2 linked regions of the Arabidopsis thaliana genome follow. The protein of the gene in region 1 interacts with the protein of each later gene in a pairwise test. Each region holds a gene or a part of one and is shown on either strand. Other genes may lie near its edges.

The links. Proteins that work in one complex are often made in the same cells at the same time.
Region 2: the proteins of AT4G10480 (region 1) and AT5G50840 interact in a two-hybrid assay, tested with the Arabidopsis thaliana proteins (one large-scale study listed by BioGRID).

The regions. Positions count from the first base shown.
Region 1 is NC_003075.7:6,477,349-6,480,792, reverse strand, and holds AT4G10480 (Nascent polypeptide-associated complex (NAC), alpha subunit family protein), read left to right. Parts: upstream 1-1,621; 5' UTR 1,622-1,713; coding exon 1,714-1,788; intron 1,789-1,872; coding exon 1,873-1,960; exon of another isoform or gene 1,961-2,152; coding exon 2,153-2,277; intron 2,278-2,353; coding exon 2,354-2,704; 3' UTR 2,705-2,917; downstream 2,918-3,444. Other genes in the region: AT4G10470 (uncharacterized protein), read right to left, coding at 3,284-3,418. UniProt on the Arabidopsis thaliana protein: May promote appropriate targeting of ribosome-nascent polypeptide complexes.
Region 2 is NC_003076.8:20,683,956-20,689,482, forward strand, and holds AT5G50840 (alpha-taxilin-like protein), read left to right. Parts: upstream 1-1,862; 5' UTR 1,863-1,947; coding exon 1,948-2,239; intron 2,240-2,328; coding exon 2,329-2,396; intron 2,397-2,490; coding exon 2,491-2,602; intron 2,603-2,697; coding exon 2,698-2,765; intron 2,766-2,863; coding exon 2,864-2,941; intron 2,942-3,463; coding exon 3,464-3,528; intron 3,529-3,768; coding exon 3,769-3,835; intron 3,836-3,943; coding exon 3,944-4,126; intron 4,127-4,303; coding exon 4,304-4,360; intron 4,361-4,460; coding exon 4,461-4,556; intron 4,557-4,652; coding exon 4,653-4,784; 3' UTR 4,785-4,967; downstream 4,968-5,527. Other genes in the region: AT5G50830 (nuclear polyadenylated RNA-binding protein), read left to right, coding at 1-112, 285-352, 430-594.

The DNA.
Region 1 (3,444 bases):
ACTGCTCGCTTGTCCAACAAAGGTTTTTTAATTGATCTTTCGGGAAACTTATGATTCCAATGGCGGTTTTATCGAATGGTCACCGGATTTTGTTGAATTCATCATATTTTGTCAAAACAAAATTCAGATCTTAGAAAAATTTATAACATTGATTTGTAAAAAGTGTATAAGATAGTCCTTTGGGATTACCTTATCGTTCAATGGACCATAAAAATAGCTCGTTTAGGTTCCATTACTTTCCATCGGAGTAAATACATTAGTCCAAATAATTCGTTTTCGTAAATATATAAGCCTAAATAATTGTGTCCACCAATTTGTATGTTGGTGTGTTTTCACTTGCACACTGGTAAACTAAAGACAACCAATTCTAACGCATGGATATTGGGGTCGTTTAGCTAAGGGACAAAATTTGATAAATAATGAACTTAGAGACAATTAGTTTTTCTATCTTTGTAAAAAGACAAATAAAGTAAATAAATAGATATGAAGTTGAAAAAGTTCAAAAAAAAAACAGCCTCAGCTTTTGCCTTGCGTGATAGAACGAGTTCACGGACATGCAACGAGCAAGAGCGAGTTGACATGCATTTAATAACGGCTAGACTAACTTAATCGCACACAGATATTAACAAATTGTCTGCTTGTATAATATTGACCTTTTAGTGCTTTATATATGTGTTTTCACGTGTACACATTCTAGAATCGTATAATATCTGTTTGTATGTTAAAACTTCTCCAATCTGAAAAAAAAAACAATAATTAATAGTCTAGCCGTTACTAATATGCATGTTAACTCGTTCTTTTTTGTTGTATGTGTATTATTTCACATGACAAGCTTTAACCTTTAAAATGCACTCAACTCGTTCCTTGCACAAAAAGTCAATTGAATATACGTATTGTCCCATACGCAAGGCAAAAAAGCAGAGATAATTATTATTTTTTTAAATATTTTCCAACGTCAAATCTATTTTTTTTGTCAATATACCTTAAAAAGAAAAAAAACTAATTGTCTCTAAGTTAATTATTTATTAAATTTTGTCTCTTAACTTAACGACCCAGAAAGCCTCCTTGGTTCAATGGTTGATCAAGGGTTCATTAATACTTATATACTAAGAGGTTTGGAGTTTGAATCCCAGCTACTGCAATTTATTAATAGATTTGCAGATTAATTGAGGCAAGTGTGCAGGAGATCTACAACGATGTACAATTATAGCCGTTCGCCAGGATTATACGCAGAGAAGATATTTTTGGTATCCATCAAGCGCATGGAGAAGAAGAATGAGGTGTCGTATATCGTGGATCTAATAAGGGAAAGAAATTATGCATAATAAAATTGTCTATGTAACAACTCTCGTAATCTGTAATAGAAAAAAAAAAACTAAACGACCTAGATATTCATGCGTTAAAATTGGTTGTTTTTTTAGTTATCAATGGAAAACACACCACATCAGAATTGGTGGACTTGGGCTAATATATTTATGAAAACAAATAGTTTGGGGCTAATGTATTATCTAATGGGCTAATTAATAAAACTTAAACGAACTATTTCTAAGGCCCATTAAACGATAGGGTAAGCCCAAATCACTATCTTACGCCCCTCTTTATATTCATCGCCACTGAAACTGAGAAAAGGGTTAGTTTCGCTGCGCTGTTTCAAGGGTTTTCGTTTTTATCTTTTCCTCCGAAGAAGAAGATAAGAGGTTGAAGAAGAAGAAGATGCCAGGTCCAGTTATTGAGGAAGTGAATGAGGAGGCTCTTATGGATGCCATTAAAGAGCAGATGAAGCTCCAGGTATTGTAATCTTCTTCTTCTCTATTTGTTTTTTAAGAGAATCGATTTTTGTTCGATTTTGATTTGGTTTGTGTTATGGAGCAGAAGGAGAACGATGTTGTTGTTGAGGATGTGAAAGATGGAGACGAAGACGATGATGATGTTGATGACGACGACGATGAGATTGCTGATGGTATTTTTACTCTTTTACTCGATTTGATTGTTTTCGTTTGGTGGTTTAGGGATGTTTCTGGAATCATGTTGTGGATTTGTGATTGAATCAATCTGTTTCGAGTCTGGATTAGGTTTTCTAGGTTTTGCTATGTATGACATTTGTTAGGGTTTTGATGTTGTTATTGTTGTTGTTGTTGTTGTTTATGTGAAGGAGCTGGTGAGAATGAGGCTTCCAAGCAAAGTAGAAGCGAGAAGAAAAGCCGAAAGGCGATGCTGAAACTCGGAATGAAACCTGTTACTGATGTTAGCAGAGTGACTATCAAGAGATCAAAGAATGTAAGTAATGACCTAATTGACTGTATTCCATTATTGTGTAGCGATGTTTGATTCTGTATGTTATTGTATCATTTAGGTGTTGTTTGTCATCTCGAAGCCGGATGTGTTCAAGAGTCCGAACTCTGAGACCTATGTGATATTCGGTGAGGCTAAGATTGATGACATGAGCTCTCAGCTACAAGCACAAGCTGCTCAGAGGTTCAAGATGCCTGACGTTGCGTCTATGATCCCCAACACTGATGGTTCTGAAGCAGCCACGGTTGCACAAGAGGAGGAAGACGATGAAGATGTTGATGAGACTGGTGTTGAAGCCAAGGACATTGATCTTGTGATGACTCAAGCCGGTGTCTCGAGGCCCAAGGCTGTTAAGGCTCTTAAAGAGAGTAACGGAGATATTGTTTCCGCCATTATGGAACTCACTACATAGGTTTTAGTGAGTTGCAAAAGACTTGTGATGGTTCGTCTTTGTTGCTTCATTTCTGATTCGGTTAGCAATTTTCTCGAACATCTCTGTTTCTCCACTTTTTTGAGGCTATTTCTTTTTACCTTTCTCTGAGCCATAAACAATGTTGCTTCACATCTATAATTTGAGACGTTTATGTCTAGTGTTGTTAACTCTTTAGCAAGAAAGATTGATGAGTAATCTCTTTACATATATTCATTGAAATGTAGCTTCAAAATACAAATTTGGTTCAAGAAACAAAGCTAGATTTGTGTATAAAGTATTTCAAGTTTCTACAACACAAAATACAGATTCAAGTCTTTGTCTAGAATTGACATGAGTGTCCCTCTTTTCGACCTACACATACATTTGCTAGCAAAACTTCTCTAGCTAGTAACACCGCCTCGATTCAGCCGCTTGAATTTCTACACGCTAACCTGCAAAATCGAAAGCAAACGCTCAATAGGACCTCATAGAAAGAGAAATCAATCTTTGACATTGTTGCTATGAAGTAAAAAAGTTAGGATGATCTGATGTCACCTTATATAACTCTTCACTAATTGCTCAAGATCTTGCTTTTGAAAGAAATGTTTCATGTTCCATCAACGATCTCTCTGCCTTAGCCTTGAGCCATAAGCTTTTATAAAAACACACCTCTGGGTTGATTTGCTCTTCTGTTTGATGATGATTTCTTATAACCTGCACATTGTGATAACGATGGTCTA
Region 2 (5,527 bases), on another chromosome or scaffold:
CATGATGTTGATGAAGGGAGTATCAACAACTTTGATGAGAGAATGATTGGTCCTGGATCTCCAAGCTTTAGGGTTTATTGCGTCGATGTTCCTTCTGATGATGATGATGAAGGTAAATCATATGTTCTTATACAAACACACATATATACATGTATAAATCATTTACTATTTGTATTTGTATATGGATGCATGCATTGTTAGAGACATATATATGTTTATATATGAAATGCTTGTTATATTATGTAGTTTCGTTATTGAAACAATTTATCCATTCACTATTGCAGAAAAAGATGTAGAAGACGCGAGAAAGTCGATGGAAACCGAAAGCGTCACGACAGAGATAAAAGAGGTGGTCAATCACATTAATTCACATTATTGATTATTTGATCTATGAGGATCTCTAACAATGATATATTTGTATTTCTATAGGACGGAAGCATTGTCAAAAAGGAGAAAAAAGAAAGAAGAGGAAAGAGGTTCGGAATCGCATTGCCGAGGAAGTATTTAGCAAATGTGACTGCGCCGTGCTATGCAGGTGGAGGATGCATGGGAAACACTCATTCTCGTTTGGTGCAAGAGAAATCGAGCCAGTGATCGATCAAAATATGTTTGCCATCTTTGCATTGACTGATTTGTTGAAGTAAGAATGGTGTGGTGTACGTACGGGATCACGATGAATAATCAAAACCACCTTACGATTTTAGACCTTTGATTTGTTTTAAGAGACGCTTGTTTCAGAATTTGTACAACCTCTTCTTCTTCACCTTTGCTTTCTTTGATCAGGATAATTAAGTTAGTGTTTGACGAATTTACTTTTTTCCACGTGGAAAGATGTAATTAATTGAACTTGTGCAATAAAAAAAGTGTTGTCTAAATGTCAAATTTATTGTTACATTAACCAATGAAAATAAAATTAGAGTAACATATAGGAAACTGCAATTATAGAAGAAAAAACACACTAAAAGGTGTAAGTAATTGAACTTTGTGAATTCCGTTTGTTTTCGGAATGCACAAGTGTTAGTCATAATAGGAAAGATAAAAATCTTAATTACAAATCCTAAAATACAATTTTTAATTTATTTTTTAGAGTTTATATTAATATGTCGTCAAAAACGGTATATTATTCAGAACAAAATTATCGTTGACCATTAGTTAATTAATAACCAAGTTCAAATTTGATAATTTGAAAGTTTATTTAGACAAAATTAATTAGTTGAAAGTTTTATCAATGATGGCCTCTTAAATTTTTAACTTTTTTTTGTTGAGTTTTATAAAAAAGAAAAAATGGTTTTCAAACTAAATTTGTTTATGATCATGTTTATCCGAGTTAAGCCCAATTTGAGATCTTTGTCAGTAATGACTAAGAGTACCTCCCGCATATAGAATTCATGTAGTTTCTAAAACATATATATATTTTTTTAACTTTTAAATATATATATTTTTTTAATTGTATGAGTTTCTACTAAAAAATTACTATTGAAGTTGGTCTAAGTTGCGAGACCAAATTTTTATATGCTTTCGGTTCGAATTGACATTTCTCTGTGTAAACGAAGCATCAATAAGAATTTATCAAACTTGAATGTAACACCATTTCTTTAGTTGATCATTTCCAAACATTTATTAATCAAATAAAATTGAATTTCAAAGTCACGTGATAATGATGATACTCAAATTTAAAAAACCAATAACACTTTATTTCAACATTTCTATGAAGAAATCAATTATTAACACTTAAAGTTATTAATTGAATAACAACGAACAACATTTAATTTAGTCAAAATTAGATTTTTTTTTTCTTTTTTTTGGTTTTATTGTTAAGATTTTATACCAAATAAAATTTTACAAACGAATCTAAAAGAAAGAACAAATTTAAACTTACCTATCAGAATTGTTGTAAGATATTTGGGTTTTCTTCGTATTAGGTTTCATCAGATCCAGACTCAAAAAATGGAGTCACCGCACTCGAATTTGCTCCCTGAAGTCGATTCTTTACCCGATGGATTCGTCGACGGCGCAACAGAGCCGCCTCTCAATTCTCCCAAGACCCAGGAAGAAACAACAAACCATGAAACTGTTGCGATCGAGAAAACAGAGAAGCCAAGAACTTTTCCGGTTCCGTTGTGTGAAACTGATGGTAATGAAGATGACGAAGTAGCTGACCTAATTCAAGAATCAATCAAGCTTGAGTTAGAGTTCGAGCAGAAAGAAAAAGAAGCTTCTCCTCCTATTTCTCAAACATGTGAGTGAAAATGTGAAGCTTAATTTCTTTATAGGAATTTGCTTCTTTTGTAACCTAAAGTTTGTTTCTTTGCTTTTTGTTTGAGTTAGTGTCAGAAGGGTCAACTCAAAATTCAACCTTGTCTAAGGAAATGGATTCACTCAAACCCAAAAAACAAGTCAGTATTTTGATGAGTTCTTCAATCTTGTTGCTTTGAGAAGAATATATGTTGAAGATGATGTATCTGATTTGTGTGCTGATGATATTGAAAGCAGGAGGTGGTTGAGAGCAAGCGTAAGGGTTCAAAGAATATGTTCAAATCAGAGAAAGAGTTTTTGGAATTTATGCTCAAGTATCAGCAAGTCCTTTCTGAAAGAGATTCTGGTAATAGGATATCAATAAAACCAAACTAGTTTTGTGTTACCTTCATCGTTTAATGCTTTATAGTCTGTACTCATCATTATTGTTTTTAACCGTAGCTATTACTGTTCGTGACAAGCTTGAATCACTTTGTAGAGAGTTACAACGTCAGAACAAAATGTTAATGGTTTGTTCTTTCTTTCTTCTTGCTTACTCTACTTGGTGTGTCTTGTTTTGAGGAACTAACCTTTTGGTGTGTAAACTAAATGTTCCTTTGTATAACAGGAAGAATGCAAGAGGGTTTCAACTGAGGGACAGACTTTAAGATCGGATTTATCGACAAAGTTCCAGGATGCTATAATGGTAAGTTGAACACATTTTTCTTTCGATGTGAATTCTTCCCAGGGTTTTGATCTTTGCTGAATATAGAAATTTGAGCCATTTTGCCGTCGGTATTGGCAGTTTTAGAGAGGAACAAGTATTGGATAATAGCTTTGTTTTGTGTTTCTAAGTATGCAAATCTTAAATGCACATCATTTATTGATCCTTGTTATATTTTCTTAGGATATTATCTCCTTTAATCTTCCGTGCTATATGCTTTGGACAGTCATGGCAATATCTTTTTCTTCTTTCTGAAACTCTCTACACTGACATTGGCAAATGTTAGTACCGATCTACACTAAAATTTAGTCCTTGGAAATAATTGGAACTAAACAAAGTAGAAAATTGTCCATATTGGTTTCAAGTTACAGATTGATAGAACTAAGTTTGATGAATTGCTTGCAGGCTTTTGCAACATCAAAAACTTACAAAAACAAAATCAGAATTTATTTGATTGATTTTTTTCTTATGCTCTCTACCTTCCTAATCCTCTTTTGTTTATAGGATGTGAGCATTAAGTTGGACGAGCAAAAGAATGAAAGCCTCACGCAACTCAAAGAAAATGAGATGTAAGCGGAAAGAACTCAATCATAACATGTTCATTTGGAGTAGGAAAATTATAGTATGTTTATTATATATGTATAGTTTTGTTGCAGTTTAAGTTAATACAGTATGAATATGCTCGCCCACATTCTGGAAACTATATTCTTACATGTGTATTGCTTTTAAAACGGCTTTGCTTGTATCAGCTCAGTAACATATTATAAAGGTCCATTCTAATTACAATGGGTTTGTTTCTTAATCTCCAGGTTAAGGACGAAGTTGAAGCACCTGGCTGATCAATTTATGCTTTCAGAACAACAACATGAGCAAAGGGTAATTAAATTATTCGTTTTTTCCAACTATATATGAAGCATGATTTAGCCAAAATAATTGGCTTAACTGCGATGTCTACTTGACAACATCTCATTTTCGAATGGACAGTTGAAGCAGAAAACACTTGAGCTACAGATCTCTGCTTTAAAAATTAAACAGCACGAGGAGAAACTCATCCATGAACAATCTCAGATGAAAGTTTACGCAGATCAAGTTTCTCAGCTTTTGTCTACTGAGAAAAATTTGCGGTTGCAGCTGACTTCTGATGGAGATAAATTCCAGCAGTTCCAGGTCTGCTCTCTTCCCCTTTTACACTTCCTAAATAAGTCTTAATCGTTTTCTCGATGCACTGTGATCACAGATAATAAGATTGCTTGCTTTGGGTGTGATACAATACTCTCTTAAGATATGTTTTTTACTGATATTATATGAAAAGACTGTAAAGTGAAAGGCTGTTTGGTTATGCAGGACGCGTTGGTTAAGAGCAATGAGGTGTTTGAAACATTCAAACAAGAAATCGATAAGGTAATAACAGTTTTATACCTTCGAGGTTCTTTGAAAGATCATAAGTGCTATTTATGTGATCTTATTAACTTGATCCTGTCTCTATTGGTTTTTTGAGTAGATGTCAAAAGCAATCAAAGAACTCAGAAAAGAAAACGCATTCTTGAAAAACAAAACTGAGAAGTCGGATATCACTCTCATAGAACTCGTCGAAGAGGTAAAACAAAACCGTCTGTTCTCTCACTATCTTTAAGGGTTTGTAGATTTTGGTTATGAAACCAGTAAAATCACACTTTTGGTTGACCTTGAACAGCGTGAAAGATTGAAGAAACTGTTGGAGAAGACAAAGAAACAGAAAGACAAGCTTGAATCACTTTGCAGATCCCTTCAAGCTGAAAGAAAACAGAAAGAAACTAACAGTACTGATTCTGCTGTTCAACCATGAAACAGAGAGAGACTATGAATTCAGTGTTTTGCTCTCTTTTTTTCTTTGTCAGAGTTTTGAACTAATTAGCACTTCAGATTACAAAACTACAATTAGACTCCAAATTCACTTTAAAATGTAGAAACATATCACATCATATTGATTCTGCTCTTTTGCGAGCTAAGTCCATTTTATCTCACAAAATGCAAATTGATAATAGTTAATTCAGCTGCAGCTTCTGCAAATCTCCAGGTTCACAAGAGAATGATTCTGCATTCACTAAGTTCACAACCGATTTGGAGAAGAATAGCTACTTCAACATCTGCCATAATGACCAGCTGATTCTTTGCAATCTTAAACCAAACCGAACCGAACCATTTGAACCGAAGAAAAGTTAAACCGATATGGATTATGATTCGGTTTGCATCTTTATGGATTCGGTTAGTTAAAAAAAGCGAATCTCTCTGAATTAAAATAAGTATAACGTCAAATTAAATTTGGTCACATCCACTTTCCTTTACAAACTTCAACAACATCAAATGGAATAATATAATATTGGAAAAGAAAAAGTATATAACGAAATGTCAACCATCGATCATGACCAGCAGATATTAATCGGACGGCTCCTGTACAATTCGATGAAGAAGACCTACTCTCTCATTTATTCAGCTAATTGAAATCATTTCGTTGTGTTTTAGAACAACAACAAAAAAACAGTGCCCTTTCGCTCACGCTTTGAGTCGTATCTGCTCTCTTCTTAATCC